4 linked regions of the Stegostoma tigrinum genome follow. The protein of the gene in region 3 interacts with the protein of the main gene of each other region in a biochemical or structural test. Links are inferred from orthologs where the notes say so. Each region holds a gene or a part of one and is shown on either strand. Other genes may lie near its edges. The genes, in order: mecp2, interferon regulatory factor 4-like, spi1b and irf8.

Region 1 (7,687 bases), on a different chromosome or scaffold from region 3:
AAGGGCCTGTTCCTGTGCTGTAATTTTCTTTTCTTTTTCTTTGTTCAAAACCTAATGTCAATCTCCTGTCATTTATTGTACACTTGCACACTATTTCTATCCAAATATTCATCTATGTGAAGGAGACCTGAAAGATAAAAAGTCCTCTAGCAGAGAAATGGTCACAAGTCAGAACCAAAGTCAACAATCATCAATCAAGCAAGAGATCTACCATCCTTTTATATCTGAGAGAGTATGTTCTGAGAAAAGAGTGAAAAATCTAGAACACCCGAAGGTAGAGATCTGGGAGCAGATGGGAGAGTGGTAAATGTAACAAAGATATTTACACAATTATTTAATGAGTTCACTATTTTAAAGAAAGTATATTTTTAATTTTACTTTATTTTTGATTATGAACTGAAATGGGAAAAAGGACTGTCTTAAACACCAGGGACCGTGCAAAGAATTGCTGTACTTTTTAACAGTAGATTACTCAATACTCATTGTATGTGCTGTTTGCACAGCTGCTTGTTCAAGCAGAGGGTGAGGTTACTACAGACATGCTGATCCTGGGGTGTGTACGAAGGGAAATTCCCCTGGCAACAAGAAGATGATTTCTCTGTGGATTAGTGATCATTGGTTGATGACATGGCCTCTTGCCCGCTACCAACTACGCGGTTAGTGCCCTGGTTACTGGATAGCTTATGGGTGTGAATATTTGGTTAGAAGTCATCAGACCATTGAAAAGGAAAGAGCTAATACGGTATGAAGCTGGATGAACACAGCAGGCCAAGCAGCATCAGAGGAGCAGGAAAGGTTTACGTTTCGGATTGCGACCCTTCTTCAGAAAAGGAAAGAGCTGTTCTTTTGTTTGCATTGGAGCCTGAAAAAAGCCAGTCTATCTCTTCCCATCAGTTCTGTAAATTGTGGCTCTTAATCTATAGATCAGACACTTTATGAGCGTGAACAGCCACCCTGTCCCACCTGCAAGCAAGTGAAAGTACCTGGAGAAGTTTGAGTTTGATTTATTGTTATCATGCATACCAGGATACACTGGAAAAGTGTGGATTTGTGTGCTACGTGGGCAGATTGTACCATAGAAAGTGCATCAAGGTAGCAGAACTGAGTGCAGAATATAGTGTTATGGTTGCCAAGAAGGTATGGAGAGAGAAAATTAATACTTGAGATACATTCAAAACTCTGACCACAGCAGGGAAAAAGCTGTGCTTGAATCTACTTGTGCTTGTATTCAAACTTTTATATCTTCTGCCTGATGGAAGAGGGTGGAAGACAGTATAACTATGGTGGGAGGGGTCTTTAATTACGTCGGTTGTTTTCCTGAGGCAGCAAGAAATATTGATGGAGTCAGTGAATGGAAGGCTGGTTTGTGCAATAGATTGGGCTGTGTTCATAACTATCTGTGGTTTCTTGCAGAATTGGGAAGAGCAGTAGCCATACGATACTGTGATACGTCCAGATAGGATGTTTCCTCTGGTGTATCTATAAAAATTGGTAAGAGTCCTTGTGGGCATGCCCAATTTCCTTAGCTTCCTGAAGAAAGCCAAAAGGGCATCTCAGCACAGGCCGTGGACAGGGACTATTGAACTGCCTTTTCTTTCCTTGCATTTTTCTTTGTCTGTACGCTTGTGAATGGGGTTCTTCTGACTCTGATAGGACACTGGAGGTGTGTATCATGTATGCCGTCTCTTGCACCTGGAGTGTCTCAGGAGAGATTCCTTCTTTTCTTCAGGCATTAATGGTATTGAGGCTACATCCATCATGAACTCTGAGGTTTCTTCGATGTTAGATGATGGAGGAGGACCCATGGTTTCTGACAGCCGTTATGGCTGTTCTGAGGTGCCCAGGTATGTTTTGCTCCTGCCCTGTTTGCAAGGTAGCAGCTTTCATAAACCACATGTTTATTTAGGACCACCTCACCTTACCTGAACTTTGTATATCATGGGATCTAACTGTGTGTTGACCTTGACTCATAACCACACAGGGCTGTTCAATGCCAAACTTTGTCACCTTAAGTAAACTGTCTTCCTTGTTTAGAGGAGGCATGTGCCTGGCATTGGTGTTGCTGCTGCCATTTCATGCTCCCCGCTCCCCCCTGCACCCTTAAATGGGAATATTAGATATAACCTGATAGGAGTCTTCACCCATCAACAACTTTGCTGGAGCTCTCCCTGTATTTTCGTAAGGGGTGGTCCTATAATCGAACAGGAAGTGGGACAGTTTGGTATCAAGTGAGGCTGTAGGCTGTTTCTTTAAAGTTTGTGCTGCTCTTTCTGCTCAGCCATTGAATGATGGATGGTATGGAGTTGTCCAAACATGTTAAATCCCATTCAACTTTAGGGAATACTTGAAATCCCTGTTGGTAAGTAACATCCCATTGTCCGTTACCAGTAGTTTCTGTATTGTGAAAATTGTTTGCAGCTTTACAATTGTCATTTCTGAGTTTGCCGAATAAACTCTGTGTGTGTTCATACACTTTGAATGGACATCCAGAGTAACCAAGAACGTTGAGACCATGAAAGGACTGGCATTGTCAAGGGTAACTGAATGTGGGATTCCTTGATTAGCCCAGGTTAACATCCCCAATTACGGATTCACCTGGCCCTTTTTACAATTACTAAAGTAACCTCTTTGCTTTTTTTTTTAAACCTGGTTCCATAGTATCTTATAGGCTATTACATGGCAAGGCTCACCCTCAGTTTGAAAGGAATATTATAATCACGTCTTATGCTTGCTGAGCAACACATGTTCCTGGTCCAACTACACCCTCCTTTTTAAATTCTGATCCTTACTTTCAAATGTCACAATGGGCTCCTTGCATTCCACTTCCTATAACTTGTCCAAAGACACACCTTCTGCTCAATGACCTTACTCCTTTGCTTCCCCAAGACCATGTTCCATCTCACACAGTTCCGACAACACTTACATGAACCCCCTGCTCTCCCCTGACCAACCACTACTCCCCAAGATTTACTGCCATCCTCTCCATAGATCAAACCCCCTCCCAAAATCACCTCTATTCCTCTTCTAAGACCACAAACTTTTTCTCCAAAGACCAGTCCCCAATACCACCCTTCCTCCCCTCCCAATACCACCCCCTCCCAAGATCCTGCCTCCTCTGTTCTCCCAAGACTCTGCATCTTTTGCTCTATCAAGATTTTGACAGGCATCCCTGCTCCTCCAAGATTATGCCCTCTTGCGCAGTACTATGCCCACCCACCAAGACCTGTCCCCTGCTGTCCCACCACTACACCATTCTGCTACACCAAGACACCATTCCCAACCAAAAGCCCCACCTCAGCCAGAGGCCCTCCCTCTCCCAAGACGTGGAGATGCCTCTGTTGGATTGGGCTGGACAAGGTCGGAAATTGCATGACACCAAGTTATAATCCAACAGGTCTATTTGAAAACACAAGCTTTGGCAGATTAGCCCCTTCATCAGGTGATTTCACAACTTGAGACCATGCCCCTCTCCCCAAAGACCCAGCCCCCTGACCAGGGACTCCACCTCCTCCCTCTGTGAACATGGCCCTTCATGATTGAACCACACCGGCTCATACATAAACCCCACCCCCTCACCCTTATAGCCATACACTCAAGCCTGGACACTTACTTTGGGACATGCCCCCCTCACAATGGGACTATGCCCCCTCGTCTGGAACCCCGTCCTCTCACACAGGGACCAATGTTCCTTCACATAAAGGATCATGCCCTCTCACTGAGGGTCCAGCTGTCCCTAAAGGACCCCATCCCCTCACCATTGGTCACTGCCACTCACTCAGGTACCCTGACATGGGGGCATCACCTCAAACAGGGACCACCCCACTTAGCACTTGAACCTGTCATCCCACAGAGTGGACGCTCCCATTTTGGAACCTGTCCCCTCATTTTGGGTCCGTATCCCTCACCAAGGGACCACGCTGTCCTCACTTTGGTACATAAAGGCTCCACCCTGGACCCACCCCCTCACTTTGGGACACACCCCATTCACTCAGACCACGCCCCCTCACGCACGTTCGACGCCCTCTGTCGCTTTGGACTCCGCCCCACCCACCCTTCCCGCCCAACTCCACCAAGCACCCCGCCCCCTCCTTCCCCGCCTCCACCCACTTCTCATTCCCCCCACCTTCACCCGGAACCCTCCCTACCCGAAACTCCGAACGCTCGCGAGATCTCGGCCGGTCGGGCCGCCCGCCCTGCCGGTGTGACGCGCTGGAAATAATTTGAAAATGGCCGCCGCGCCGAGCGGAGGAGAGAGGCTGTGAGTACTGGGAGAGGAGGAGGAGGAAGAGTGCAGTGGTCGGGGGAGGGGGGCGAAGCGGGATTGGAGAAGCAGCTCCGGCCCTGGTCCGAGAGAGAAAACCAGAGATCGGTCAATCCCCCTTCCGTGCTTCGGGACGGGAGGGGGGGAGGTGAACATATGCCGGCGAATGAACGGCGAAGGGGGGGGGGGTGAGAAGTTGAGAGAGAGGGCGGAGGTAGGCCCGGCCTCTTTCTCGCGCGGTGGCGGTCCCGATAATAAGCGGATTGTTTCACACACACAAAACTTGCCCGGTCTAGTGATAATAAATGGTATTTTTTTTGAAAAAGTTAAAAAATAAAGAGGGAGAGGATGGAACCGGTGGCGAGCGAGGCCTACCTCCAAAGGGTGGGGTGGACGGTCGGTCGGAGGTCGACGCTCGGCTCCTGGGCGCTCAGGGCCCGCAGCCGTTGGAGACGGCGCGAGCGGGCTAACGGTCGGGCCCGCGCGAGCGCGGAGTCATGGCAACCTCCTGTTCTACCCCCTCCCCCCGACAATCATCACCGGGGCGACGCCATGGCAACCAGGCGCGCAAGCGGGGTACCCGGGGGCAACCCCCTTCCCTCCATCTCCCGTCACCCCCTCACACTCTTAGCCTCTCTGTCTCCAAGTCAACACCAGCGTGTCTCTCTTTGCTCCCTAACACATAACAAATCGCCCTGATTTCACAGAGCAGGGTGATCGAATGGGTGGTGGGATGTTGGAGTTTGTGTGTGTTTGTGTTGGAATCTGATGTGCTAATCATTTTATGGCATAGTCACCTTATTTCCACCACTTCTTGCCCACTCTCTGTCAACCATGTCTTGCCATTTTCTCCCTCGTTCTCAACTCACCCTGAATTTGCCAAATTCCCAACACTAACATCCTCCCTTCCCCGTCTTTTGTCCCCCTCCCTCCCTCCCTCCCTTCCCCGTCTTTTGTCCCCCTCCCTCCCTCCCTCCCTCCCTTCCCCGTCTTTTGTCCCCCTCCCTCCCTCCCTCCCTCCCTTCCCCGTCTTTTGTCCCCCTCCCTCCCTCCCTCCCTCCCTCCCTCCCTCCCTCCCTTCCCCGTCTTTTGTCCCCCTCCCTCCCTCCCTCCCTTCCCCGTCTTTTGTCCCCCTCCCTCCCTCCCTCCCTTCCCCGTCTTTTGTCCCCCTCCCTCCCTTCCCCGTCTTTTGTCCCCCTCCCTCCCTTCCCCGTCTTTTGTCCCCCTCCCTCCCTTCCCCGTCTTTTGTCCCCCTCCCTCCCTTCCCCGTCTTTTGTCCCCCTCCCTCCCTTCCCCGTCTTTTGTCCCCCTCCCTCCCTTCCCCGTCTTTTGTCCCCCTCCCTCCCTTCCCCGTCTTTTGTCCCCCTCCCTCCCTTCCCCGTCTTTTGTCCCCCTCCCTCCCTTCCCCGTCTTTTGTCCCCCTCCCTCCCTTCCCCGTCTTTTGTCCCCCTCCCTCCCTTCCCCGTCTTTTGTCCCCCTCCCTCCCTTCCCCGTCTTTTGTCCCCCTCCCTCCCTTCCCCGTCTTTTGTCCCCCTCCCTCCCTTCCCCGTCTTTTGTCCCCCTCCCTCCCTTCCCCGTCTTTTGTCCCCCTCCCTCCCTTCCCCGTCTTTTGTCCCCCTCCCTCCCTTCCCCGTCTTTTGTCCCCCTCCCTCCCTTCCCCGTCTTTTGTCCCCCTCCCTCCCTTCCCCGTCTTTTGTCCCCCTCCCTCCCTTCCCCGTCTTTTGTCCCCCTCCCTCCCTTCCCCGTCTTTTGTCCCCCTCCCTCCCTTCCCCGTCTTTTGTCCCCCTCCCTCCCTTCCCCGTCTTTTGTCCCCCTCCCTCCCTTCCCCGTCTTTTGTCCCCCTCCCTCCCTTCCCCGTCTTTTGTCCCCCTCCCTCCCTTCCCCGTCTTTTGTCCCCCTCCCTCCCTTCCCCGTCTTTTGTCCCCCTCCCTCCCTTCCCCGTCTTTTGTCCCCCTCCCTCCCTTCCCCGTCTTTTGTCCCCCTCCCTCCCTTCCCCGTCTTTTGTCCCCCTCCCTCCCTTCCCCGTCTTTTGTCCCCCTCCCTCCCTTCCCCGTCTTTTGTCCCCCTCCCTCCCTTCCCCGTCTTTTGTCCCCCTCCCTCCCTTCCCCGTCTTTTGTCCCCCTCCCTCCCTTCCCCGTCTTTTGTCCCCCTCCCTCCCTTCCCCGTCTTTTGTCCCCCTCCCTCCCTTCCCCGTCTTTTGTCCCCCTCCCTCCCTTCCCCGTCTTTTGTCCCCCTCCCTCCCTTCCCCGTCTTTTGTCCCCCTCCCTCCCTTCCCCGTCTTTTGTCCCCCTCCCTCCCTTCCCCGTCTTTTGTCCCCCTCCCTCCCTTCCCCGTCTTTTGTCCCCCTCCCTCCCTTCCCCGTCTTTTGTCCCCCTCCCTCCCTTCCCCGTCTTTTGTCCCCCTCCCTCCCTTCCCCGTCTTTTGTCCCCCTCCCTCCCTTCCCCGTCTTTTGTCCCCCTCCCTCCCTTCCCCGTCTTTTGTCCCCCTCCCTCCCTTCCCCGTCTTTTGTCCCCCTCCCTCCCTTCCCCGTCTTTTGTCCCCCTCCCTCCCTTCCCCGTCTTTTGTCCCCCTCCCTCCCTTCCCCGTCTTTTGTCCCCCTCCCTCCCTTCCCCGTCTTTTGTCCCCCTCCCTCCCTTCCCCGTCTTTTGTCCCCCTCCCTCCCTTCCCCGTCTTTTGTCCCCCTCCCTCCCTTCCCCGTCTTTTGTCCCCCTCCCTCCCTTCCCCGTCTTTTGTCCCCCTCCCTCCCTTCCCCGTCTTTTGTCCCCCTCCCTCCCTTCCCCGTCTTTTGTCCCCCTCCCTCCCTTCCCCGTCTTTTGTCCCCCTCCCTCCCTTCCCCGTCTTTTGTCCCCCTCCCTCCCTTCCCCGTCTTTTGTCCCCCTCCCTCCCTTCCCCGTCTTTTGTCCCCCTCCCTCCCTTCCCCGTCTTTTGTCCCCCTCCCTCCCTTCCCCGTCTTTTGTCCCCCTCCCTCCCTTCCCCGTCTTTTGTCCCCCTCCCTCCCTTCCCCGTCTTTTGTCCCCCTCCCTCCCTTCCCCGTCTTTTGTCCCCCTCCCTCCCTTCCCCGTCTTTTGTCCCCCTCCCTCCCTTCCCCGTCTTTTGTCCCCCTCCCTCCCTTCCCCGTCTTTTGTCCCCCTCCCTCCCTCCCTCCCTCCCTCCCTTCCCCCCCTCCCTCCCTCCCTTCCCCCCCTCCCTCCCTCCCTTCCCCCCTCCCTCCCTCCCTTCCCCCCCTCCCTCCCTTCCCCCCCTCCCTCCCTTCCCCCCCTCCCTCCCTCCCTTCCCCCCCTCCCTCCCTCCCCCCCCTCCCTCCCTCCCTTCCCCCCCTCCCTCCCTCCCCCCCCTCCCTCCCTCCCTTCCCCCCCTCCCTCCCTCCCTCCCTTCCCTCCCCGTCTTTTGTCTCCCTCCCTCCCTCCCTCCCTCCCTCCCTTCCTC
Region 2 (7,978 bases), on a different chromosome or scaffold from region 3:
ACTATTAGCTGTCATCCACTTCCCTGGCACGTGTTCTTTTTAAACAGAATATACATTTGGAGAAATGCTTCTATTAGTTTATCTTGCATGTATCAGTCAGTTTTGCCAGTACATTGACCTGACTGTCCATATCCGAATACATATATACATAAATGGATGCATGTATGTTACCTAGAGGACTTTTTACATTCGTGTAAAAGTTGCTGGCCTTCTAAGTAAATGGGATTTCTCAGTACGATTACTGCAGTTGAAATTCGAAGAGGCAGAGATAGGCTGACATTTTATGAGAACTGTGACTAAGTACCCTGACCGTAAATTCAAAGGGCGATGAGCAATGCTTAAGAAATACCCATTAAGCTGGAACATATATAACCTTTTTAAAAAATGAATGTTTAAGACAGCCAGGAAATGCTGTCACAACCACCAGCATGAGAATATCTAACGCGAGTGGAAGCCTGTCCCAGAACATATTAGTGAATGTACTCCTGACTTGATTAATACTTATGTGTCTCGATCCCCGTTATAAGCAATTCTATTGACAGTACAACGTTTTATTACAGTTTGTCCATACCGACAACGTGTAACACAATACTGCTGCCTGTGGTAAGTGGAATGCATTGACCTCCCTCTCTGTTGCGACAGTAACACGACATTTAGCAAATCAATCGAATACAGAATTGTTACACTTAAGCTTAACATGTTTCTATTTTGATTGATGTTTTTGGTATGTGTTCGAATTAATTAATGCGTGAGAATAAACATGTTGTGGAAGACGGAAGACAACAAGAGAAGTAATCTCATTGGGTAACCACGTCGGTATGCACCTTTTGTGCCTTATCCAAATTTTTTTTTTTGGGCAGATCAAACAAAAAATCAATGTGTAGCTTGCAAATGCAGAAGTAATACATTTACAATACTGAACACGCACGTACACGGGCAGATATATGCGTGAACATTCTGATCATTGTAGGTCAATTCAAAAATGTAGTTGAAAGTGACCACGAGTTTGTTAGTTTGGGAAATTAACCACGGCAAGATTATTCAACAATCCCGCCCTCGGTTTAATCTAAAATTAGATCAACGTTGGCAGTTTGTGAAGCGCGTGGATTGAAACAATAACACAAGCCCCAGACTGGAAAAAAAGACCTTGCCGCTTAAAATAGGCCATCGGTGTTATTTTGACAAAACAATGCCAGGTGCATTTATTTGTACTGTTTATGTGTTTTCCTGTTTTTCTCTGTACTTTTTTGTGATGTCACTTCGGGAATGAGCACTGTAAAGGTGGGCGCCCAAATGTTAAATCTTATTCTTAGTAACAATGGAAAATAAAACGGAGGTGTCTTATTGATTATTCTTCGCTAGTATTTTGCTTGACCTTCTTTTCAGGAACAAACTGGTAAAAGTGCAAAATTCCTCTATTCGCTCTGTCACTGCGATGTAATTTCAAGTCAGAGTGAAATTGCTTCAAAACTGACAGCCGGCCGCGTTCCACTTAGGCATGGTATGTTTTGTAAATTGCACCTTTTCTCTCAACCTGTCCAAGCGTATATTACACTCAGAACAAAGACAGTGTATAAAGATATCAAAAAGAACTATCTTGTACAGTGATTTACTCTTAATAGAAAGGCGTGGCGCTAAGAATGACCATTCGAGCTTCCGAGTGAGCCCACGTTATTGTGCACTTTCTAGTTCACTATCTTCTCATCATCTTATCTCGATCTGTATCCAGAAACGGCATCAGATCTGAATTATTTGGTTCCAATTAGGTCCACATAGTGGAACAGGCGTAAAATAAGTGAGTGCATTTTCAGAAACACCCACTCTAACCACTCTTGATAACGAGCACTTTTGTTATGTAACCCTGGTCATTTCAAGAGTTTCGAGAGAGCGAATTAGTGGAATTTGTTGTGTGTATGTCTGCTGGTGATGGCGGCGGGAGTGGGGCCGAATCAAAGACACCCAATATGGTCCAGCTGCTTTAGCAGGTACAAATCCCGCATCAACTGAAGCTTTAAATGCTAACAGCATTAAGGACCAACTGGCACTTTTTAACACCTATCAGAGTTCTAATAGAAGCAAACTGACAGAACTCTTGCGGTACAGAGGTGGCATTCCCATCTCTTAGACTAGGAGACTTGGATTAAAGTCCCACCTGCTCTAGAAGTGTGTGCTACTAACTCTGAGTAAGATGATCAGATTTTTAAAAATATAAAAATGAGAGTTATGTGGTGCAGAGGTCACGTCCCCTACCTTTGGAACAGAAGACCTGGGCTTAAATCCCCACCTGCTCCAGAGGGGTGCCGTAACACCTTTGAACAGGTTGATTAGAAATTGGTTCATATTTTTAAACTATCTACAAACTCTACACCTCGTTTAATTTGGTTAGTGAGATATGTAAAATGCTGCGGCTTAATGCAGTTATTTTAATGCACTGCGCATCAAATATTTAGTTAAGAATTCATTTCCTCCACACTATCCATACTGAGCCTTTTCCATGCATTTAAATAATGGGTATTGTGCACAAATCTATCTTTTCTGCTCCTATTCATTAAAATCCGAATTGCAGGTTCCTAATCTGAAACAAATTTAGCCAATTCTGCAAGTAATGGCAACTACAGTTCTTTCCCAAATCCCAGATCTAACTCTGAAAAGTTAAGCGAATTTGGGGGGTGAGGGATACGCCAAACCAGTTGCACTGTCATGCATGTCACCCTGTAATGAACTTGAAGCTGAGCCTATGTTTGAGACATCCAGGTAATTATCGCAGAAGAGAGAACGCACGTTCGGAGCCAAAGCGGAAATGTTGGATTTTGTTGGGCTTTTCTCTGTCTCCTCCCCTCCCGCCTCACACGTTTCCACAAGGAAATGATTTTTCCCTCTCAGAATAGAGTGATAAAATATGACGGATGAAAAACAACAAAAGCACTTCTTGGAAATGAAACTAGCAACTGGTTGAAGCTCAGATAAACTGATGTGACCAGAAAAAAAAGCACCGAGAAGATAACAAATAATTCAATGTTAGAATTTCTAACCACAGACAAATTCTTCCGTATAAACAACTGGGACGCAAATGTGTCATACTATTTTCTCCAATTAGGTGAAATTGAAGTCCATATCTTGACAGAAACGAATGCTTCCAGGGGAGGGGGATGCTTTACAATGGAAATATAGTCTAGTATATTACCGTCACTGGGGGAATGGGGTTTTGGGGAGTGAAGCCCGAGTGGAAGGGAGAGGGGATTGGGATTGATGGAACGCCGGTGGATTTTGCAAAAGATGGATGACCGGTTCATGAATGGACCCTTGGAGAGATGCCCAGGAGGTGGCGGTACTGAATTGGTTCTTAATAAAATTCTAATCCGGTTAAGTGTTTCCACCACGCTTCCATGTAATTGCAAGTGCATCTCCAAAGCATACATTCAATATATCCATATATTCTGTATACGTCTGGAACTATCTAAACTGGCACCGCTTGGTCAGAAAAACACACGAACACTTGTTAGAAAACAGAATTTCTCCACCCCCAAAATTGTCATGTGCTGCAATTATTTCCTGCAGACATGTTCCTTCTGGCTCGGCGTTACTATCCCAAGTTCCACCCACTGACAATTATCCCTGCGTCTAGCAGCATCTGTGGTGAGAAAACATTTTAGATCCAGTGATCCTTTTCAGGTCAGCCTGTAGGCGGTACCCTGGACCCAAAACGCTGACTCCACTCTCTATCACAGATACTGGCAGACCTACTTAGCGAGCTTCTCTAGCAACGTCTGTTTGCTTTTGTTTTGTTTCAGATTTTCAGTATCCGTACTTCTTTTGTTTATTATTTTTCTCTGCACGTTAGCCGGACAGCCAATCTGGCTGCAGCCGTGGAGCATTATTTCAATAGCGAGATACGAGTGGGGATCCTTTTTTGAGCCTCTTCAACTGCGCCCCTGGGGGACGCTGGGGGTCAATGGCAGAGGTGGTCTCACTGCCAGACTTGGGAACCAAGATCCCTGAGGTTGAGTGGTTCAACGTTGCAAACTCCATTCGAAGTCATTGGTGACTTTCAGGAACCCAAATAGGCCATTTTTTTGAAACACTTTAAAACTGCCCAGGGAGAGGTCAACTCGATGTTTGCAGTGACAGGGCAGATAACTGATAGTCTGAGGAAATATTTGGAAACTTTCAATTGACTAAATCACTGCACTATAAGATTGACTCCGTTCCTTTGATATATAATTTATGGCAATTTCATTTCCAAGGCAATTGCACACTGAGGTATATGAATAGTATCCAATTCTGACTGAAAATTTGTGACTGTATTCCTGAGAAATGTTATGCGTAGTTTTTCCACTGCTCAGGTAAAAAAAAAGACACACGCACCCCCAAAAAAAGCCGATCTGTCAAATTCTTCTGACAAACAAATACGTTAACAATGTTTCGTACTCTGAAATGGAGCAATGTTGTGCGCCGCTGGGGATTTTTGTTTCCTCTTGTCCGTGACACTTCTGTAAAAACAGCCTGTGATTGATTAGCAGCAGTCCCGCCTCCCAGCACTCTTGTATATAAGAGAAAGTTCCTTTTCAGTGCTTGTGCTGAGTGGATCTGCTTCATCGTAACCAGTCAATCAAACTTGAAACACAGCAAGTCCCCAGGTAAGAGGCAACTGGATGACTTCGCTGGGAGTTCTTATTGCAAGATACAGCCGAATTTTGTTTTAGGATCAGACACTGATGGGGTGACTGTCAGCTACTCCTCAACATTTAGGGCTTCATTTAAAATTATTATTATGTGAAAATAGCTTGGCTGCGGGCGAGAGAGTGAAGCCTGGCTTCGTGCGTGCACTTTAATCGGATTTCAAATGATCGTACGTTTAGGTAGAACTGCTAGCTGTTAAGAGGTGTCCCATGTGATTTTGTTTTAAAATGCTCTGCAGGTTTCGTACAACTTTTCCTGCAGTGAATGCCCTTGTATGATCAATATTTTATTTACGCGCCCTAAGACGTGACAGTATATGGTTGCATGTGCCTTTTTATTTCATGAGTCTCTCTGTCTCTCTCTCTCTCTGTATGACACATTATCTAGACATGAATATGGATTCAGACTGCAACATGGCTCCAGTGACTTCCGGAAACGGCAAACTTCGCCAGTGGTTGATTGATCAGATTGATAGTGGGAAATATCCCGGGCTGGTCTGGGAGAATGAAGACAAGACGATTTTCCGCATTCCTTGGAAACACGCAGGGAAACAGGATTACAACCGAGAGGAGGACGCGGCACTTTTCAAGGTAACAGTGCACCTCATCTCTCGAGTTTCTTCGTTTTCTGTCTAACTTCTGATTTTTCTCTTTTTCTCTCATAGGGGGAAGGTGTTAATTTCCTCTTTTAAGAAAAAAAACTTTAATGTCACAGCCTCTTTTTCCGCTTTTTCTTCTATGTAATTGTGCGTGTGATTAATTGGCCTGCTGCATAAATCAGTGGGTTCGAATGAAATTATCTGCGTCTCATCCTGACCGTTACATACCGGCTTCGCCTCCACGTTCACTGTGTTCCCTGTTTACTGCAGACCTCCCTGTTTCTACAACGGCTCTTTATGCTGTCTTGTGATCCCATGTGATCTTGCACATGTCATCAAAGCAGTGTCGTGGGAGAGCCACCTCCAGCTACTTGTGTTGTATTTCGGATAAATGAGGCCTTCGGACAAACGGGGCATTACCATTTCAGTCGTCACGATAAGCCCACAGTGGTAGGCGATGGTGGTGGATCAGGTTGCTTTCTATTACACGGTGACTTGCACAGAACTGCCTTTACTTTCAGGAAAGCTACAACGAGACTTTAGTAGGCGTGCATGAATAATTGTGGTCTAAGTTCACATCTTGTGGTGGAACTGGACAGCAACACCGGTAAACCTTAGTCTTTTGTTTCAGGGAAACTACATCATTGCCAAGAAAGTGTTTGAGTATTTCTGAAGACATTGGCCGGTGAATTTTAAAGTCACTGAAGTGACTCACTGCACATACAAATACGAGATATTTATAATGACTTATTCCCACGGGTCATTATAGTTTCTTTGCAAACGGGGTCACAGGAGAAAGCTTGTTTCTAATTAAAACATACTTGGGGCTTTCCCGAGCTTCCAGTGAATTATTATCGCTTCAAAATGCATGGCTATTTGATCAGTATGATTTAAGCAAAGTACACTTTTTTTTGTTCCAATCATATACCCGATCACACTATTATTTGAAGCCATGTTTTCAGCAGATTGTTTGAGTCTCAAGACTCGGTTTTGCTTGGATAGTACCTAATGGTCTGAATAATGTTAATACACTGTTAATGTCAGGTCGTAGAAAATTAGGATGTGTAATTTCCCAAAGTGACAATGCCCCAACCACGAAGATACCACACATTTTTTGTTTATAGTTTGGCTCACCATTTTCACATTCATTATGGAGCTCTATAGATAGTGCCCTGTCTCCAGGATATAAACCATGGGTATATGTTCAATTGCAGGACTTGATGGCCAAGGAAGGATTGTTTGTGCTGTAATTCAACATTTTTAGAATTAGTCTGCTAATTTCCCCACTATCCATCAAAAAAGTGTGTATATATAAAGGTAACAAAAATAAATATGTTAACCCCCTCCTTACATTAATTATAGCCTGTCAGTTAACTATCATTCACCATTAACTGGTGCATCTCCCACAGCAATGCTGCTACCAATCAGAATCTACTCATGTACCAATTAGCACACATATCATATAGTATAACTGTAAGTGTTCCTTTTAAATTGTATTACAAGTTACCCCATTGAAGGGACAATTAAATGTTTACTTTTTTCAGCAAAACTTAATTTCTCTTTTACCAAACAATTAACCATAGTTAAGCTGAATATAGATAACCAATCATTTAACTTGGAATACACAGTACATCCCTTAATTACCGGTGTATATAATGCTTTTGAATGATGGCAGGTAAGAGACAGTGGAGAAAAATACTTTCAAATTAAAATGAACAATCTATCTTTTTTTAAAAAAAAATTAATCCATTCATAATCACAGTAGTTTTCAGTATGCTGAAGCATTTCACTCTTTGCATTTTATGGGAGTAAAGTTTCTTTCTTATATCCAGCATCCCCATTATTTGTCTTGTGTACATCCTGGTAAATAATTTATCCTACTGTTTTTATACAGAAACAATGTTTATGAAATGGAGTGAATGTTGGTGCTTTGCTAACTCACTCTTACCAAATCATTTCTCCCAAGGCTTGGGCACTTTTCAAAGGCAAATTTCGTGAGGGAATTGACAAGCCAGACCCCCCAACTTGGAAGACTAGACTGAGATGTGCCTTAAACAAGAGCAATGATTTTGAGGAATTGGTTGATCGCAGTCAACTTGACATCTCCGATCCATACAAAGTGTACAAAATTATTCCAGAAGGAGCCAAAAAAGGTATTTGCTCCCACTAACATGATCTTTCAATTGAAGTTTTTTAAAAGCTCGGAGAGTAGAATGGATAAGATTAAACGAATATAATCATAATGTCTTCATACCATCTCTGGATAACTTAAGATTATGGAAAATTGCAGAAATTTCCTTTACTTATTTAATTCCTATGTCTTTACTCATCCTAAGATTTTACCTTTTTTTCCTCAAGGAGGATCAAAGCAAATGAGCATGGAAGGTCCACCGATATCGATTAACCACCATTCGTACCCTACATATCCATCAATGCCACCCCAGGTAAGTGAGCTCCCTGAATTTGAAACATCTCAGATGGCAATTAACATTCTCCACTTCTTTGAGTGGAAAACATGGAACAATAAATATTTTCTTATGGCTTTCAGATACCCAACTATATTGTACAACATGAACGTGGCTGGAGAGATTATGAACAGCCACATCCAGAACTCTCTTATCAGTGCCCAACTGTGCCATTTCCTCCACGAAACCACCACTGGCAAGGACCTGGTTGCGATAATGGTAAGAATGGTTTGTA
Region 3 (8,016 bases):
GACTTTATAACCAGAGGGCATAACCTCAAAGTATGGAGTCACCCATTTAAATGACAAGGAATTTCTTCTGTCAGAGGGTTGTGAACCTATGGACTTTTTTTTTGAATGGTGGAGCAGATTCTGGGCTGACTGGTCTCTTTCTGGTCCACTCCTGTGTCTTATGGAGTCACATGTAGGCCAGACCAGGTAAGAACAGTAGATTTTCTTTTGTAAGAAAATTAGTGAACCAGATGGGATTTGCAACAATCGACAATATGTACATGCTCACCATTGGACTAGCTTTTTTTTGTTATTCCAGTTTTTCTTAAATTTAAAATTCACCATCTCCCATGGCAGGATTTGTACCCATTCTGGATTACCAACCAAGTAACATTTTCACAACACCACTACACAACACGCACACACACACCTTCTTCTAGAGTTAATCTGAGTGCAGCAGCTTTGGCCATCAAACTCCAGTTCTACCTTCCAAGCTGAGACCTGCCCTAGTATGATCAGGGCTCAGGTTAGGAGGTATGCAGAGTGAGTGCGTGACAGCTCTAAAGCAAAGAGCTTCCAAGGTGGCATCTTGAGCTTCCAAGTTCCTTTAGCTTCTGTTTACCAGAAAGCATCACCTTTGTAAAGAAGTTGAATTGAGTGGTAGGAATGACTAGGCAAATTGGGAAGGAGTTTTTTGTCATTTGCAATGTCTGTTGACAGTGATGAAAAAGACCACACATCATTCTACTGGATAACACTTGATCTAATGACCTCCCCCAACAGTTAGCAGCTGTTTGGGTATGAATATGGCAACCTTGTAGATTTTAGGTGCTACTTAAACATTTCATATTCACTTGCTGCTGGAAGTATGACCAAATTCTCTCAAACACATTGGGATATTTTCTGTATCAATTTGTCAGGACTTCATCACTCAAGCAGCTGTTGAGCTAGAAATTCTCTGAGGACTTCATCTGGAAAGAAAAGCACTGAGCTACTTCATCTTATTTTGTACCTTTTAGAAATTACCAGGGCAACAGGAGTGTGCAGTTGTCACTATCTCTCTTTGGCCTGTGTGAGGAATACAAGGACACTATGAGGACTTGGCATTGCAACGTAGGCTGAGACAGGAGAAAGAGTCAGGCAGACAAGGTGGATATATCATCTCACAAGTACAGAGGTGTACCTCTCTCTTTGTCCCAAATCTCTGAAACTTCCTGCAAACCTTTGCTGTGAACTCATTAATGAACCCTCCTGAATATACAATACTAGATTCAAAATAGCCTGCCCCTTAGTTGGTTGATTGTAATCAGGATTTTGAAAACTAAATTGCATGTGTACAATGACACATCTTGAACATTATTGCTGCAAATTTGCTTCCCCAGTCCAAATGTAGATTAATGCCCCCTATTTATCAGCTACATTTGACCAAAAATTGAATTAGTGTCAATTTCAAGGGTATTCCCTGTGGTTTTTCTCTTTATGATCTCTGGACTGTTATCTAACACTATTCTCCATTACTCAACCTCAAGTACTCAACACGCCTGCATGCTGTGGTGCCCTCCCCAGCTGTAGAAGTGCTTGCCACTACTGGGACCTTCCAAGATTCATACACCCACCACCGTGTGTAAATCCCGACTGTACTCCAGTTCAAATACCGCTAGCCAGGAGCAACTGAGCATACCAATTTGCTGACAGGGATCTGTGAATATATTATTAAGATGCTCAAGCCTCCACCCTTATTGTGCAAGTTGTTCTCTCTCATCTCATAGAGGGATAAAAAATAGGAGCAGGAGTAGGCCATTTAGCACTGTCCTACCATTCACTAAGATCATGGCTGATCATCTAACTCATTACCCTTTCCCATTCCTTTTCCCCATATCGTTTGATCCCTTTTGCGATAAGAACTTTATCTATACTTTAATAGAATCGCTACAGGTGGAAGAAGGCCATTCAGCCCATCAGGTCCACACTAAGTCTCTGAGGAGCATCCCACCCAGAGCCATCCCCCTGCCCTATCCTTATAATCCTGCATTTTCTATCGCTAATCCATCTAGCCTGCACAATTTAACATGCCCAGTCCACCTAACCTGAATATCTTTAGACTGTGGGAGGAAGCTGGAGAAACCAGGGGAAGCCCACACAGACACAGAGAGAATGTGCAGACTCCACACAGACAGTTGCCCGAGGATGGAATCAAACCCAGTCCCTGGCACTGTGAGGCAGCAGCACTAAACCACTGAGCCACTGTGCGGCCCCTATTTTCTTGCAAGTTTTCAATGTTTTAGCCTCAACAGTTTCCGGTGGCAGAGAATTTCATAAGCTCTCCACTCTCTGGAGGAAGAAATTCCCCCTCATCTCAGTCCTAAATGGCCTATTGTTTATCCTTAGATATGACCCCTGGTTCTGGACTCTCCCATTATTGGCAACATCCTTCCTGTGTTTACCCTGTCTGGTCCTGTTATAATTTCATAGGTTTCTATGAGATACCCGCTTATTCTTCTGAACTCCAGTGAAAATAATCCTGACTGATTCAACCTTTCAAAATCAGTCTTGCTATCCCAGTAATCAGTCCCGTAAACCTTTGCTACACTTCCTCCATACCCTTAGATAATATGAGACCAAAACTGCACGCAGTAGTCCAGGTATGGTCTCTCTAAGGCTCTGTACATTTGCAGCAACATTTCCCTGCCACTGTACGCAAATCCTCTCACCATGAAGGTCAACATATCATTTTCCTTCTTCATTGCTTGCTGCAACTGCACCACTACTTTCATTGAATCCTGTAGGCAGCAGCCCATGTGCAAAGTCTCTGCTTTAACAGGCCATCAAGACATTATGCCTTTCTCCACCTCTCAGGAAGAAGACATGGACCCCTTAGAAGGGCACAGCGTAACATAGAGGACGCTAGGTGGAACGCCATGCCCAGTTCTACATACACACACACATATTGCCCAATGTAGTCCAAAAGAGAAGCATTGTCAAGGCTATTCCCTGCACCCTCCCCCATCTTGGAATGGAAAGTGTCTGCAGAGTTTAACCTTTCTTTAATGGCTTGGCGACAGTTGTGTGATGTTATGTTTCAACAAAGATAGTTTATGTTTATACATTGAAAACCTTTAGCTAATAATCTTTATTTGAGGAAATTGTTTTTGTAATTATCTAGCTTTTATTTATTGTCCATAGAAACTTGGCTGACTTGTTTCCAATAAGTCTATTAATAAACACATTGAAAACTCAACTGGCACAGCACTGCATTCAGGCTGAAACTGCCAGTGGGATTTATTTGCACACTTGATAATTACATGGAAGCAGAGAAACAAAGTTGATGCTGAGCAATGCCATACTCCAACAATGTAAGATTTTAGAAGTGCTGCCTGACTTGATTCTAATACCGAGCTGTCTGCAGTATGGGCAATATCACTTTCCTTTAAATTCAACATTTGCTGTGGGACAACTGAATCCTCATAACTGGGATTTAATATATGGAATGATAAGAATATGATAAGTAGAGGAAATTAGCAAGAGTGTACATTAACAGGATGCTTGTAATGTCAGGAGTGTGCTATCTGGATCTGCATAGTATCAGAAGAATGTAATGACAAACTGTGACCTAGAAAAGTGTATGCAAGTAGTGAAAGAAAAAAATACAGGAGAATTATATTCATAATTTGTAAAAGTGAAAGTTCAGAACTAGTAGCTCAGCAGTCAGATGACAGCTGGGATTGTATAAACCAGAGGAAAGTAAACGTTAATACTGTTCTGTTGGAAGTGTTTTTTGGAATAAGGTGCTAAATCTAGGCCACATCTGCCTTTTCAGGTAGATATAAAAGATGCCTTAGCACTTTTGCGAAAAGAGGAGGGAACTTTCCCAGGATGTCCTGGGCGATATTTATTCCCCAACCAAAATCACTAAAAACAAACGTTGATCTAATTTCTTAAGGTGGGATTTTGTCATGCACAAATAGGCTGTTATATTTCCTGCAAACAACGAAGCAGAATTTCACTGACGTTTTCACGGAGAATGTGGTGAAGGTAGGTTCACTCCGGTGGATAGAGTCTGGAATGTAGTATCTGAGAGTGTGGAGATGCCATTTTAATTATTAAAACAGTACTGGAAACATCTGGAGAGAAAGAACAATGCAGGCACACTTGAGAAGGGCAAGGAAATGGGCCTAGCTGACTTGGTGTGCCAAGAGCCGCACATAAATGATTGGCCGAATGGCCTCTTTCAGTTTTGTGAGCGTTCTCTGTTTCTATGCAATGCCTCCCATTCTCTGGGTTGCAAATGTGGTGCCCCCTTTTTTGGGCAGGTTGAGTGTAATGTGTCGTCTCTCAAAGCAATCTTTCCCTTCAGTAAAGCCACCTTCATCAGCTGAGTACTTTCAGCAATCTCTTTTGCTGCAACCCCGGGGGGCAAGGAGAGAAACCCAACAAAGTTTCTTTCTATTAGCTAGTCCCAGAGAGTAAAGTTGTTGGTGAGGACCCTATAGGACAGCTGAAGCTTGGTGCTGCCTTGTACTGTAGGAGCAGCCGCTAAGGGGTGCTTGTGTCTGAGCTAGCGGGGTGCTTGCTGTGGTAGAGGTGGAGTCTGGTAACAGCAGCGTTGATCATGAAGTTCCTGTTTGACGGGTGCCGGTCCCCAACACCCTGGAAAAGAACAGTTTCTCACCGTCCACTGAACAAGCTCGGCACCCTCGCATTTGTGGACAGCTACAGGGAATCTCTTACCTCACTTTGCAAACCCGTCACTGGGGCAACGGGACGGCAAAGTGGGCACACTCTACCTGCTACTGGAGACCCTTGGAGGAAAAGTCATAGAGTATGTGCCTGGCTGCCTGAAGTCCGCAGAGGAACACGCACAGTCAGTTCGGCTATGGAAGGCTATCTGATTGCTCCCGTAAGTAAAAGTTTGTCACTCTCTGAAATCATGAGGTCCGCTGCTCTGTGGCTGGAGGTAATTGGGACTCTTTTTTAAACTTGCAGTACCCCGAAGATATTACTCCTTACGACAGCGAGGTGTACAGACAGCCCCATGAGTATTACACCTACCTGGGCAGCGATGGGGACAGTCATAGCGGTGAGTTAGCTCCTCTCTTTACACCCCAGCTCTGTACGGGATTTCTTCCTCACTGTTCGATAGCACCGCTAAATCGGTTTGAAACTGACCTTTTCATTTTTCGATAAGGCAGACAGGAGATACTTTCCAAGCGCTGATACCGTCTCCTTTTCACACAGAATCTGCGGTTGAAGGGAGTTGCTGCTCCTGTTGGCAGACTGAAATGACCGACTTGTCTCTTTCCCGCTGCGCCAATTCCTTCAAAGCGCAGAGAAATTCCTCTTCACGAGGATCTGCTCCTTAGCCCTTTGGCACAGCGTTACATAGCGAACGCAAGGTGGAATGCCATGCCCCCTTCTACATACACACGCATATATTGCCCAATACAGTCCAAAAGACATTGGAAACTAAACTGGCACAGAACGACTTTCAGGCTGAAACTGCCAGTGGGATTTATTTGCGCACTAAATAACGACAGGGAAGCAGAAAAACAAAGTTGACGCTGAGTTGATTATTCCGGCAATGCAAGACTTTAGAAGTGCTGCCTGGAAAGGTGTGGATAACAATTCAACAATAATTTTCAAAAGATAAACACTCAAATTAAGTGTGTGTAGGATTTGAGAGCAAGGGTGTGGAATAGCTAGATCTTTCAGAAAAGCACGCAGGCGGAATTAGCTGATGTGTGCAGCTTCAGTCTGTGAATCTATGGAAACTGCTCCAAAAAAAACAGAAGTAGAGAGTTGGGTATTTGCGAGTTAATGCACATGAATGTTGTGGCGCAAGTTTTTTACATAACTCATTCTGTTGCAGAAAACAAGACGTTCGTTAATACAGGACCGTTCCATCCACTAGATCCCGCTAAACCCTGTCAAGAATATTTTTAAAAAGTTAAAAGGGGCCTTCTAAATAGTCAGGTATTCAAGGATATTAATCACTTCCACCTCTTGGGCAGATTGGAGTCAGTAACAGCTCTGCGGTCGTCCAGAGTTTTGTTTGCTTTTCACATCTACGAGTGAATTCTGCAAGTCAGAGCTGCTAGTGAGAAATGTTGCGTGTAGGCCGGCAGTTGGGAAAGTGATAATGGGAACTGCAGATGCTGGAGAATCCAAGATAATAAAATGTGAGGCTGGATGAACACAGCAGGCCCAGCAGCATCTCAGGAGCACAAAAGCTGACATTTCGGGCCTAGACCCTTCATCAGAGAGGGGGATGGGGTGAGGGTTCTGGAATAAATAGGGAGAGAGGGGGAGGCAGACCGAAGATGGAGAGAAAAGAAGATAAGTGGGGAGGTAGGAGGGGGGATAGGTCAGTCCAGGGAAGACGGACAGGTCAAGGAGGTGGGATGAGGCTAGTAGTTAGGAGATGGAGGTGCGGCTTGGGGTGGGAGGAAGGGATGGGTGAGAGGAAGAACAGGTTAGGGAGGCAGAGACAGGTTGGACTGGTTTTGGAATGCAGTGGGTGGAGGGGAAGAGCTGGGCTGGTTGTGTGGTGCAGTGGGGGGAGGGGATGAACTGGGCTGGTTTAGGGATGCGGTGGGGGAAGGGGAGATTTTGACGCTGGTGAAGGCTTGAATGCAGACTGTAGTCTATTGGGGATGATCCGGGTCTGTAGGCAGGTGCTGAGGAAGGTGATGTGGCTGTGGTACCTGGTTTGCTTCAGGACATGGTCGAGCATGTCCTGAAGCAAACCAGGTACCACAGCCACATCACCTTCCTCAGCACCTGCCTACGGACCCGGATCATCCCCAATGGACTACAGTCCGCATTCAAGCCTTCACCAGCTTCAAAATCTCCCCTTCCCCCACCGCATCCCTAAACCAGCCCAGTTCGTCCCCTCCCCCACTGCAACACACAACCAGCCCAGCTCTTCCCCTCCACCCACTGCATCCCAAAACCAGACCAACCTGTCTCTGCCTCCCTAACCTGTTCTTCCTCTCACCCATCCCTTCCTCCCACCCCAAGCCGCACCTCCATCTCCTACCTACTAACCTCATCCCATCTCCTTGACCTGTCCGTCTTCCCTGGACTGACCTACCCCCCCCCCCCCCCCCCCCCAACCTCCCCACCTATACTCTCCTCTCCACTTATCTTCTTTTCTCTCCATCTTCGGTCCGCCTCCCCCTCTCTCCCTATTTATTCCAGAACCCTCACCCCATCCCCCTCTCTGATGAAGGGTCTAGGCCCGAAATGTCAGCTTTTATGCTCCTGAGATGCTGCTGGGCCTGCTGTGTTCATCCAGCCTCACATTTTATTATCCCGGCAATTGGGAAAGCTGTGTGCGTGACATTTGCACAGTATTGTAAAGTTATCTACAATGGGGACAATATTGAATTTGACTTCTAGAAGATAACAAAAATTCTGTAAATGTTTGTGGATTGACGTCAGCTCAGAAATGCCCAACAGAGCTGACTTTGTAAAGTTGAACAGAACCGACAGTCTCACCAGCACCTCCACCGGGAGGGTGTATGAAGTCCGACTGTACAATTGGTAACCGAGCAGGAACTGCTTTTCTTAATATTCCAGTCTGTATTTACATCGCAACCACTAAATAGACATCATCAGGCCGTTGTCACTTTACTGTTTGTGGTATCTTGCTGTGCTTCCTATACAATACTGGTGATGGCACTTGACACTACGTCATTGGCTGCGAGGCTATGGCTTAAGGATGCAAAGAATTATGCAAGTCTCTTTCTATTTTTGATAATTAATTTCAATCGATAGCACCAGAACCTTTAGCGTTTTCGATCAGGAGTTGTTCAATGACTATGTCAGTCATCACAAACCTGCCACTTTTCAAACACTAGCATTAAAAAGGCACCTCTTCAAGTTGGATGAAAAGTTTATAATGTAACCTCACCTTGAATGATTTACTTTGAAAGGCAGCACTTATAGAAGGGTACTCTGCAGAAAGTAGAAAAATCCAATGCACAGCAAGGAGATGAATAAACTGATGATACAAAAAGAAGACAGCAGAGAGAGGCC
Region 4 (7,817 bases), on a different chromosome or scaffold from region 3:
TCCTCCACGTTTGCTCTACCTACAAACCATTGTATCATGAGCTATTTATATTTCCATCATATTCCTCCATCCCCTTCCCCAAGTCACTTTCACCAAAGATCGCATTTTCTAACAATATCTTCAGCTTGTTTTCAGGAAGTGTGGGACATGTATGCTCTGTTTTCTCCTCCTTGGAAGGCAAACCCATTGGCAGACTGGGCTTCCAGCACCTTACAAGGACTGGTACCTGTGCTATGACACTACTGATCCCTTGAACAGAAAAGCAGTGATAACAGATCAAAGCAGAACTGATTCAAGAGAAAAATCTTTAATGGTGCTAAAGTCAAAGAAGGTGGTAGTAATTATGGGAAAGAAACAAAAGGATTGACTAGAAGAGGTGAAAATATCTGGAAAGCAGCTGCCTGAAAGCAAAGGAATTAAGTTAAAAAATAAGAGAAAAACTGAACTAGCAAAGAAAAACACACTAAAACGGGGGCAATGGTTATATCAAAAACGATTGAATGCAGAGGTGAATCCAGAAGTGCAATTTGTAAATGGAAGTGCAAACTTGAAAGATGAGGTGCTGCTCCCTGAGTTTCACTGAAATGCTGCAGCTGGCCAAGTTCAGATGGGTTTGGATAGGAACAACATGGAGAATTGAAAGGACTAATAACAGAATGCCCAGAGTTGTCCTCAATTCAGGTGTTCTGCAAAGCAGTCACCGGGTGTACAGGAGACTAAGTTGTGAGGTGCAAATACTCTGTTCAAAACTGAAAGAAAGCAAATGAATCTCATTGAGTAGGAATGTTTGGGCCCATGGATAACAATGAGGGAGGAAGTGGAAGTGCAGGTGTTACATCTCTTGCAGTTGCATGGAAAAGTGTTGTAGGAAAAGAGGTAATCTGCAGATGACCAAGGAGAGGGTTAATATACCATGGAGGATATCGTATATCAGAGTGCTGAAAGGGGAGCGCCTAGGAAGATGCATTTGGTGGTGCTATCACTAGAAATGGAAATGAATAGAATGGGATGATATGTTGAACACAGAGGCTGTTGGTTAACAAGTTAGGACAAGAGAAACCCTATCATTATTCTTGGAGGGAGGGTAAGTAGAGAAGGCAGAAATGTGTGAGACAGATTGGACACAGAGGACAGTGATAATGGGAATTGCAGACGCTGGAGAATCCAAGATAATAAAGTGTGAGGCTGGATGAACACAGCAGGCCAAGCAGCATCTCAGGAGCACAAAAGTTGACGTTTCGGGCCTAGACCCTTCATCAGAGAGGGGGATGGGGTGAGGGTTCTGGAATAAATAGGGAGAGAGGGGGAGGCGGACCGAAGGTGGAGAGAAAAGAAGATAGCTGGAGAGAGTATAGGTGGGGAGGTAGGGAGGGGATAGGTCAGTCCAGGGAAGATGGACAGGTCAAGGAGGTGGGATGAGGTTAGTAGGTAGATGGGGGTGCGGCTCGGGGTGGGAGGAAGGGACGAGTGAGAGGAAGAACAGGTTAGGGAGGCAGAGACAGGTTGGGCTGGTTTTGGGATGCAGTGGGTGGAGGGGAGGAGCTGGGCTGGTTGTGTGGTGCAGTGGGGGGAGGGGATGAACTGGGCTGGTTTAGGGATGCAGTTGGGGAAGGGGAGATTTTGAAACTGGTGAAGTCCACATTGATACCATTGGGCTGCAGGGTTCCCAGGTGGAATATGAGTTGCTGTTCCTGCAACCTACGGGTGGCATCATTGTGGCACTGCAGGAGGCCCATGATGGACATGTCATCTAAAGAATGGGAGGGGGAGTGGAAATGGTTTGCGACTGGGAGGTGCAGTTGTTTGTTGCGAACTGAGCGGAGGTGTTCTGCAAAGCGGTCTCCAAGCCTCCGCTTGGTTTCCCCAATGTAGAGGAAGCCACACCGGGTACAGTGGATGCAGTAGACCACATTGGCAGATGTGCAGGTGAACCTCTGCTTAATGTGGAATGTCATCTTGGGGCCTGGGATAGGGGTGAGGGAGGAGGTGTGGGGGCAAGTGTAGCATTTCCTGCGGTTGCAGGGGAAGGTGCCGGGTGTGGTGGGGTTGGAGGGCAGTGTGGAGCGAACAAGGGAGTCGCGGAGAGAGTGGTCTCTCCAGAATGCAGACAGGGGTGGGGATGGCAAAATGTCTTGGGTGGTGGGGTCGGATTGTAGATGGCAGAAGTGTCGGAGGATGATGCGTTGTATCCGGAGGTTGGTGGGGTGGTGTGTGAGAACGAGGTGGATCCTCTTTGGGCGGTTGTGGCAGGGGCGGGGTGTGAGGGATGTGTTGCGGGAAATGCAGGAGACGCGGTCAAGGGCGTTCTCGATCACTGTGGGGGGAAAGTTGCGGTCCTTGAAGAACTTGGACATCTGGGATGTGCGGGAGTGGAATGTCTTATCGTGGGGGCGGAGGCGGAGGAATTGGGAATAGGGGATGGAATTTTTGCAGGAGGGTGGGTGGGAGGAGGTGTATTCTAGGTAGCTGTGGGAGTTGGTGGGCTTGAAATGGACATCAGTTACAAGCTGGTTGCCTGAGATGGAGACTGAGAGGTCCAGGAAGGTGAGGGATGTGCTGGAGATGGCCCAGGTGAACTGAAGATTGGGGTGGAAGGTGTTGGTGAAGTGGATGAACTGTTCGAGCTCCTCTGGGGAGCAAGAGGCGGCGCCGATACAGTCATCAATGTACCGGAGGAAGAGGTGGGGTTTGGGGCCTGTGTAGGTGCGGAAGAGGGACTGTTCCACGTAACCTACAAAGAGGCAGGCATAGCTGGGGCCCATGCGGGTGCCCATGGCCACCCACTTAGTCTGTAGGAAGTGGGAGGAGTCAAAATAGAAGTTGTTGAGGGTGAGGACGAGTTCGGCTAGGCGGATGAGGGTGTTGGTGGAGGGGGACTGGTCAGGCCTGCGGGACAGGAAGAAGCGGAGGGCCTTGAGGCCATCTGCATGTGGAATGCAGGTGTATAGGGACTGGACGTCCATGGTGAAGATGAGGTGTTGGGGGCCAGGGAATTGGAAGTCCTGGAGGAGGTGGAGGGCGTGGGTGGTGTCATGGACGTAGGTGGGGAGTTCCTGGACCAAAGGGGTGAAAATGGAATCCAGATAGGTGGAGATGAGTTTGGTGGGGCAGGAGCAGGCTGAGACGATGGGTCGACCAGGGCAGGCAGGTTTGTGGATTTTGGGAAGGAGATAGAAACGGGCCGTGCGGGGTTGGGGAACAATGAGGTTGGAGGCTGTGGGTGGGAGGTCCCCTGAGGTGATGAGGTCATGAATGGTGTTGGAGATGATGGTTTGGTGCTCGGGTGTGGGTTCATGATCGAGGAGGCGGTAGGAGGTGGTGTCGGAGAGTTGGCGTCTGGCCTCGGCGATGTAGAGATCAGTGCGCCATACTACCACTGCGCCACCCTTGTCTGCGGGTTTGATGGTGATGTTGGGGTTGGAGCGGAGGGCTGCCCGTTCTGCGGGGGAGAGGTTGGAGTGGATGAGAGGGGTGGAGAGGTTGAGGCGGTTAATGTCTCGACGGCAGTTGGAGATGAAGAGGTCGAGGGAGGGTAGGAGGCCTGGGGGTGGTGACACAGTGGACAGCTGTGTTGATCATGGTGCTGGAAGGGGGATGGTGGGCAGTGAATCCTGGGTTCAGTAAAAAGAAAGTCAGATTGGACGTGCTGGTATTGGTGGTTAAAAAAAACGCGACAGAGAAACTGGACATTTTCTGAAGAAGGGTCGAGGCCTGGAATGTCAGCTTTCCTACTTTGATGCTGCTTGGCCTGCTGTGTTCATCCAGCAGTATGCCTTGTTATCTCAGATTCTCCAGCATATGCCGTTCCTACTATCAGAGAAACTGGGCATTAGGAATACAGACCTTGCAAGAATCACTTAGTTTTACAGTATAGCATGAGGGCATTTGACCCACTGTATCTGTACGGGCTTCTGAAAGAGCTCCTCACTTAGGCTCCAGCCCTATCTCCGTAGCTGCCTAACTCCATCATTTTCGACCCGAAACGTCAGCTTTCCTGCCCCGCTGCGTTCCTCCAGCTCCACACCTTGTTATATCAAGTCTAGTGGTAGCGGGAACAAAGTAAACTAGATACTATGAAGGGAAAGTTGATTCAGACAAGGGATATTCTGATGGTCTTTTTTCCTCGCCAAAGAATCAGCTTAGTTCATTGACCACTGCTGAAAACGTCTGCAAAGTAAAACACCCCCGGTCTGTGGGTATTGTCCAATGAAATTAAACCCTCTTCAACTACTGGGACATTTTATTAGGAATTCATAAAACACAATGCCTCAAGAGTATTGCGAAACCATTCCCCGATACTATTACCACCCTGGGACAGGAGGAGGCGTACAGGTCCCGGGAAATTCCCCAATACATGCCACTTAAGTAAATCCCCCTCTACTCCCACGTGTATACAACCATACCATTATAAAGTGCAATGGACGAAAGGTCAAAAAACAATAAAAGCTCATTTCGCAAAACGTGCTGCTGGAAACTTTGAAAAGCGATCCTCGGACCTCCTAGAAAGAGACAAGGAAACACACACACTTAACAGAACGACCACTGCAACTACTTGCAACCCATCTGATTTCTTATAAAAGGGTTGGACCGGGAGGAAATCCCTCCCGCCTTCCCATCTCATTGGCCCCGCCGTCTGAACTTGGCTAAGATGTTTGGTCGACGGCAGCGTCAATGAGCAGACAGTTGCCGCGCATCAACCCCACCTTCCTGGGAGTGCATAAACGCCCACAGTTCAGCTCAAGACGAGATAACACGGCATTGATTGTCAGACAATTAAAGGAATAGTAACAGGAGATACGAAACCAGAAGAGAAAAGCACTGCAGTTAGGTAATTGACCTCTGTTAATTATACCTGGCACAGAACTGCTCTGGAATGATGCAAGGGTGAGGAAACATTTTCAACACTACAATGTAAACTTTTTTCACAATAGTTTAAAACATGATATTTTGTTTCTAAGTAACTTTTTCTATGATTTAGGACAAATGAAATTTCTTGGGCACGCTAGTTTGTTACGAGGTAATTATTCTCTGATGAGTTAAAATGTTGCTATTGCAGAATCGGCATGGTCGATAGAAACAGCACCGGGATGCGCCGTCTCAAACAGTGGCTCATTGATCAGATTGACAGCGATCAGTACCCAGGCTTGGTCTGGGACGATGAGGAGAAAGTCACTTTTCGGATTCCTTGGAAACACGCCGGGAAACAAGACTACAACCAGGAGGTGGACGCTTCGATCTTCAAAGTACGAGGATTCTGGCACAGTTTATGATGCTGCATTTGTTCTTTTTTAATGTAGCAGTCCTACTTTACCACGCATGATCGCAATACTTGGCTACATTTTAGCGAAGGGTAAAGCATACGGTTAGGTTTGGGGGCACTTTGGAGGTTTGTAGCAGTGACCCTAAGTTAGTTAAGCCAATATACGCATCTTTTTGCAAGCCAATTTGCTTCATTGATTTTGAGGCCGGTCTGCATCGAGGGACTTTTGAGTTCAGTTTAGCTATTGTCGGATGTTTTTCGAGGAACGAAAGGGCAAAACTGTGGGGGAATAATTTGAACTTTTAAAAACGTAAATTGTACATTTTATTCTGGGAGTTGAGAAAGGAGGCCTTTTAACAGATATTACTTAGTGAGGGAGTATCCCTATTTGGAATGAGAACTAACTTATAAGTTGCGTAGAAAATAATGGCAATTTTTGCTTCATTTGCTCGGCCCTGGCCAATATTTTCCTGCTCATTATCTTGCAAAAATATACTGCAGCTTCTGCAGTTGCACTAAGTTCAGACACTTAGATTCTGCAGTTGCAGTAAGTTTAGACATTTTGCTGTTACACTGAAAATAAAATTATGGAAAAATGTATAGGGCAAGAAGCTGGATGTAATAGTTATTTAGCACTGAAGGTGAAATCATCTCTGAACACTTGCATGTAGTTTATCGGGAGGGATTATTTATCCAGGTTGAGAATGCTTCTAATGACAATATTGTCATGTCTGAAGAACAGACCTAGCTTTAGATCCAAAAAAAAAGAACTGTAGATGCTGGAAATCTGAAACAAAAACATATTATTGGAAATACTCAACAAGACTGGCAGCAGTCTGTGGAAAGAAGGTAGTGTTAAGGGTTTGTAGAGGTAGAGTTTGGGTCTAGTAATCCTTCTTTAGATCTGAAGACCCTAGCTATACATCCCCTTGTTTGCATCTGGATACAGGACTATGGAAGGATTCAGAAATTTCACTCAGTGAAAAGAGCAGAAAGCTGAACACTTCTAGCTGAATGTTACATGTTATTAAGTAGTAGTAAGGACAAAGTATCAGCAGCTGAACGAAGGTTTAAACTGAAGCTCAGTTGCAAATCAACATCCATTGAGGTAGTATATCTAGATCAAGGGCATCTAACTCTTCTAAGCACCAAGTTTCTAAGTAACTAGATTTTATTTTGCTTCTGTTTAGTTTCATTTTGAAAAATATTTCATTTTGATGCAACTGTCAGGAACATTTAAAGTTGTAAAATATATATAGAAGCTGAATGAAATATACTGAGTGCATTTCTTTTGCTTTCATTGGAAAATAAATAACCAAAATACCTTGAGGGCAGCAGTGGTTAGCACTGCTGGGTCACAGCGCCAGGAACCTTGGTTCAATTCCACCCTTAGGTGACTGTTTGTTTGGAGTTTGCACATTCTCCCTGCGTCTGCGCAGATTTCCTCCGAAGATGTGCAGTTTAGATGGGTTGGTCATGCTAAATTGACCATAGTGTTCAGGGATGCATAGGTTAGGTGGGTTATGGGGGGATGGGACTGGATGGAATGCTCTGAGGGTTGGTGTGGGCTTGTTGGCCAAAGGGCCTGTTTTCACACTGGAGTGATTCTATAATCTTTTTAAGAATGTAAGTCCAGGATGCAAATTTCCTTTTGCCTTTGTCTGCTTTGTTATTTGGATTATTGTGAAACTAAAGAAGACTTGGACAGAATTGTTGTTTTGATTTTAGAGAACAACAAAAACAAGAACGTAGGTGACTGTTAGAAAATAGCTCCCAAATACAGGGTAGGGTAGGAAGGCATCTTATTATTTTATCACCTGCTTTTCAACACTTTGATTAAAACAGCCAAAACCAAGCTTGTCCTTCAACTGGGGGACTGAAAAGAATGTTGCAGTTGTATTGGCTGGAGATTAACTCTTAGCTTCAGCAAAGGCAGAGATCAGAGATGTGAGAGGTCACCTCTTTAATGGCTTCCAGTACAAGACAAGTTCATAGTGCACCAATTAGTTCATTGAGACTCTATACTAACTTATGCATGGTTTATATGTTATATGGCATTTATAGGCTTGGGCTATTTTCAAAGGAAAATATAAAGAAGGTGAGAAAGCAGAGCCTGCCACTTGGAAAACAAGACTTCGTTGTGCACTCAACAAAAGTCCAGATTTTGAAGAAGTGACTGACCGTTCACAGCTTGACATCTCCGAACCATATAAGGTTTATCGAATTGTTCCTGAAGGACAGCAAAAATGTGAGCACAAGTAATTCAGTAGTTTGGGCAGATTATGTACCTGGTGTTCCACTGCCGGATTCACACATCTAATTTTGTCAATTTAGATTCAATGGTTTCAGTTGTGTTTGCTCTTTTCATGTCTGAAAAGGAAAGATACATTTTGAGCAGCTGCTCCATTTTAAAGTCTTGAGCTTTCCTTGTTTTCTCGGCTGACCTACTAGCCGGCCTCACATTTCTGACTTTTTCTGTTTTTCTTTTTTCTTTTTCTATTTTTTTCTAAAGATTTCATTTATAAAGCATTTGTGGTGTGCCTGGGATGTAAAAGGT

What was found.
Region 1: the proteins of spi1b (region 3) and mecp2 form a complex in vitro, tested with the Homo sapiens proteins (2 studies listed by BioGRID). The link is inferred for Stegostoma tigrinum from reciprocal best matches to the Homo sapiens genes SPI1 and MECP2.
Region 2: the proteins of spi1b (region 3) and interferon regulatory factor 4-like are reported together in a solved structure, tested with the Homo sapiens proteins (2 studies listed by BioGRID, with this or other methods). The link is inferred for Stegostoma tigrinum from reciprocal best matches to the Homo sapiens genes SPI1 and IRF4.
Region 4: the proteins of spi1b (region 3) and irf8 form a complex in vitro, tested with the Homo sapiens proteins (3 studies listed by BioGRID). The link is inferred for Stegostoma tigrinum from reciprocal best matches to the Homo sapiens genes SPI1 and IRF8.

The regions. Positions count from the first base shown.
Region 1 is NC_081402.1:3,533,332-3,541,018, reverse strand, and holds the start of mecp2 (methyl-CpG-binding protein 2), read left to right. Parts: upstream 1-4,154; 5' UTR 4,155-4,226; coding exon 4,227-4,258; intron 4,259-4,636; exon of another isoform or gene 4,637-4,753; intron 4,754-7,687. UniProt on the Homo sapiens protein: Chromosomal protein that binds to methylated DNA. It can bind specifically to a single methyl-CpG pair. It is not influenced by sequences flanking the methyl-CpGs.
Region 2 is NC_081355.1:16,028,492-16,036,469, reverse strand, and holds the start of interferon regulatory factor 4-like, read left to right. Parts: upstream 1-4,586; 5' UTR 4,587-4,637; intron 4,638-5,067; 5' UTR 5,068-5,069; coding exon 5,070-5,270; intron 5,271-7,244; coding exon 7,245-7,431; intron 7,432-7,636; coding exon 7,637-7,722; intron 7,723-7,826; coding exon 7,827-7,962; intron 7,963-7,978. UniProt on the Homo sapiens protein: Transcriptional activator. Binds to the interferon-stimulated response element (ISRE) of the MHC class I promoter. Binds the immunoglobulin lambda light chain enhancer, together with PU.1.
Region 3 is NC_081370.1:11,941,047-11,949,062, forward strand, and holds the start of spi1b (transcription factor PU.1b), read left to right. Parts: upstream 1-4,593; 5' UTR 4,594-4,852; coding exon 4,853-4,876; intron 4,877-4,962; coding exon 4,963-5,056; intron 5,057-8,016. UniProt on the Homo sapiens protein: Pioneer transcription factor, which controls hematopoietic cell fate by decompacting stem cell heterochromatin and allowing other transcription factors to enter otherwise inaccessible genomic sites.
Region 4 is NC_081369.1:51,891,867-51,899,683, reverse strand, and holds the start of irf8 (interferon regulatory factor 8), read left to right. Parts: upstream 1-4,698; 5' UTR 4,699-4,873; coding exon 4,874-4,884; intron 4,885-5,056; coding exon 5,057-5,243; intron 5,244-7,324; coding exon 7,325-7,508; intron 7,509-7,817. UniProt on the Homo sapiens protein: Transcription factor that specifically binds to the upstream regulatory region of type I interferon (IFN) and IFN-inducible MHC class I genes (the interferon consensus sequence (ICS)). Can both act as a transcriptional activator or repressor.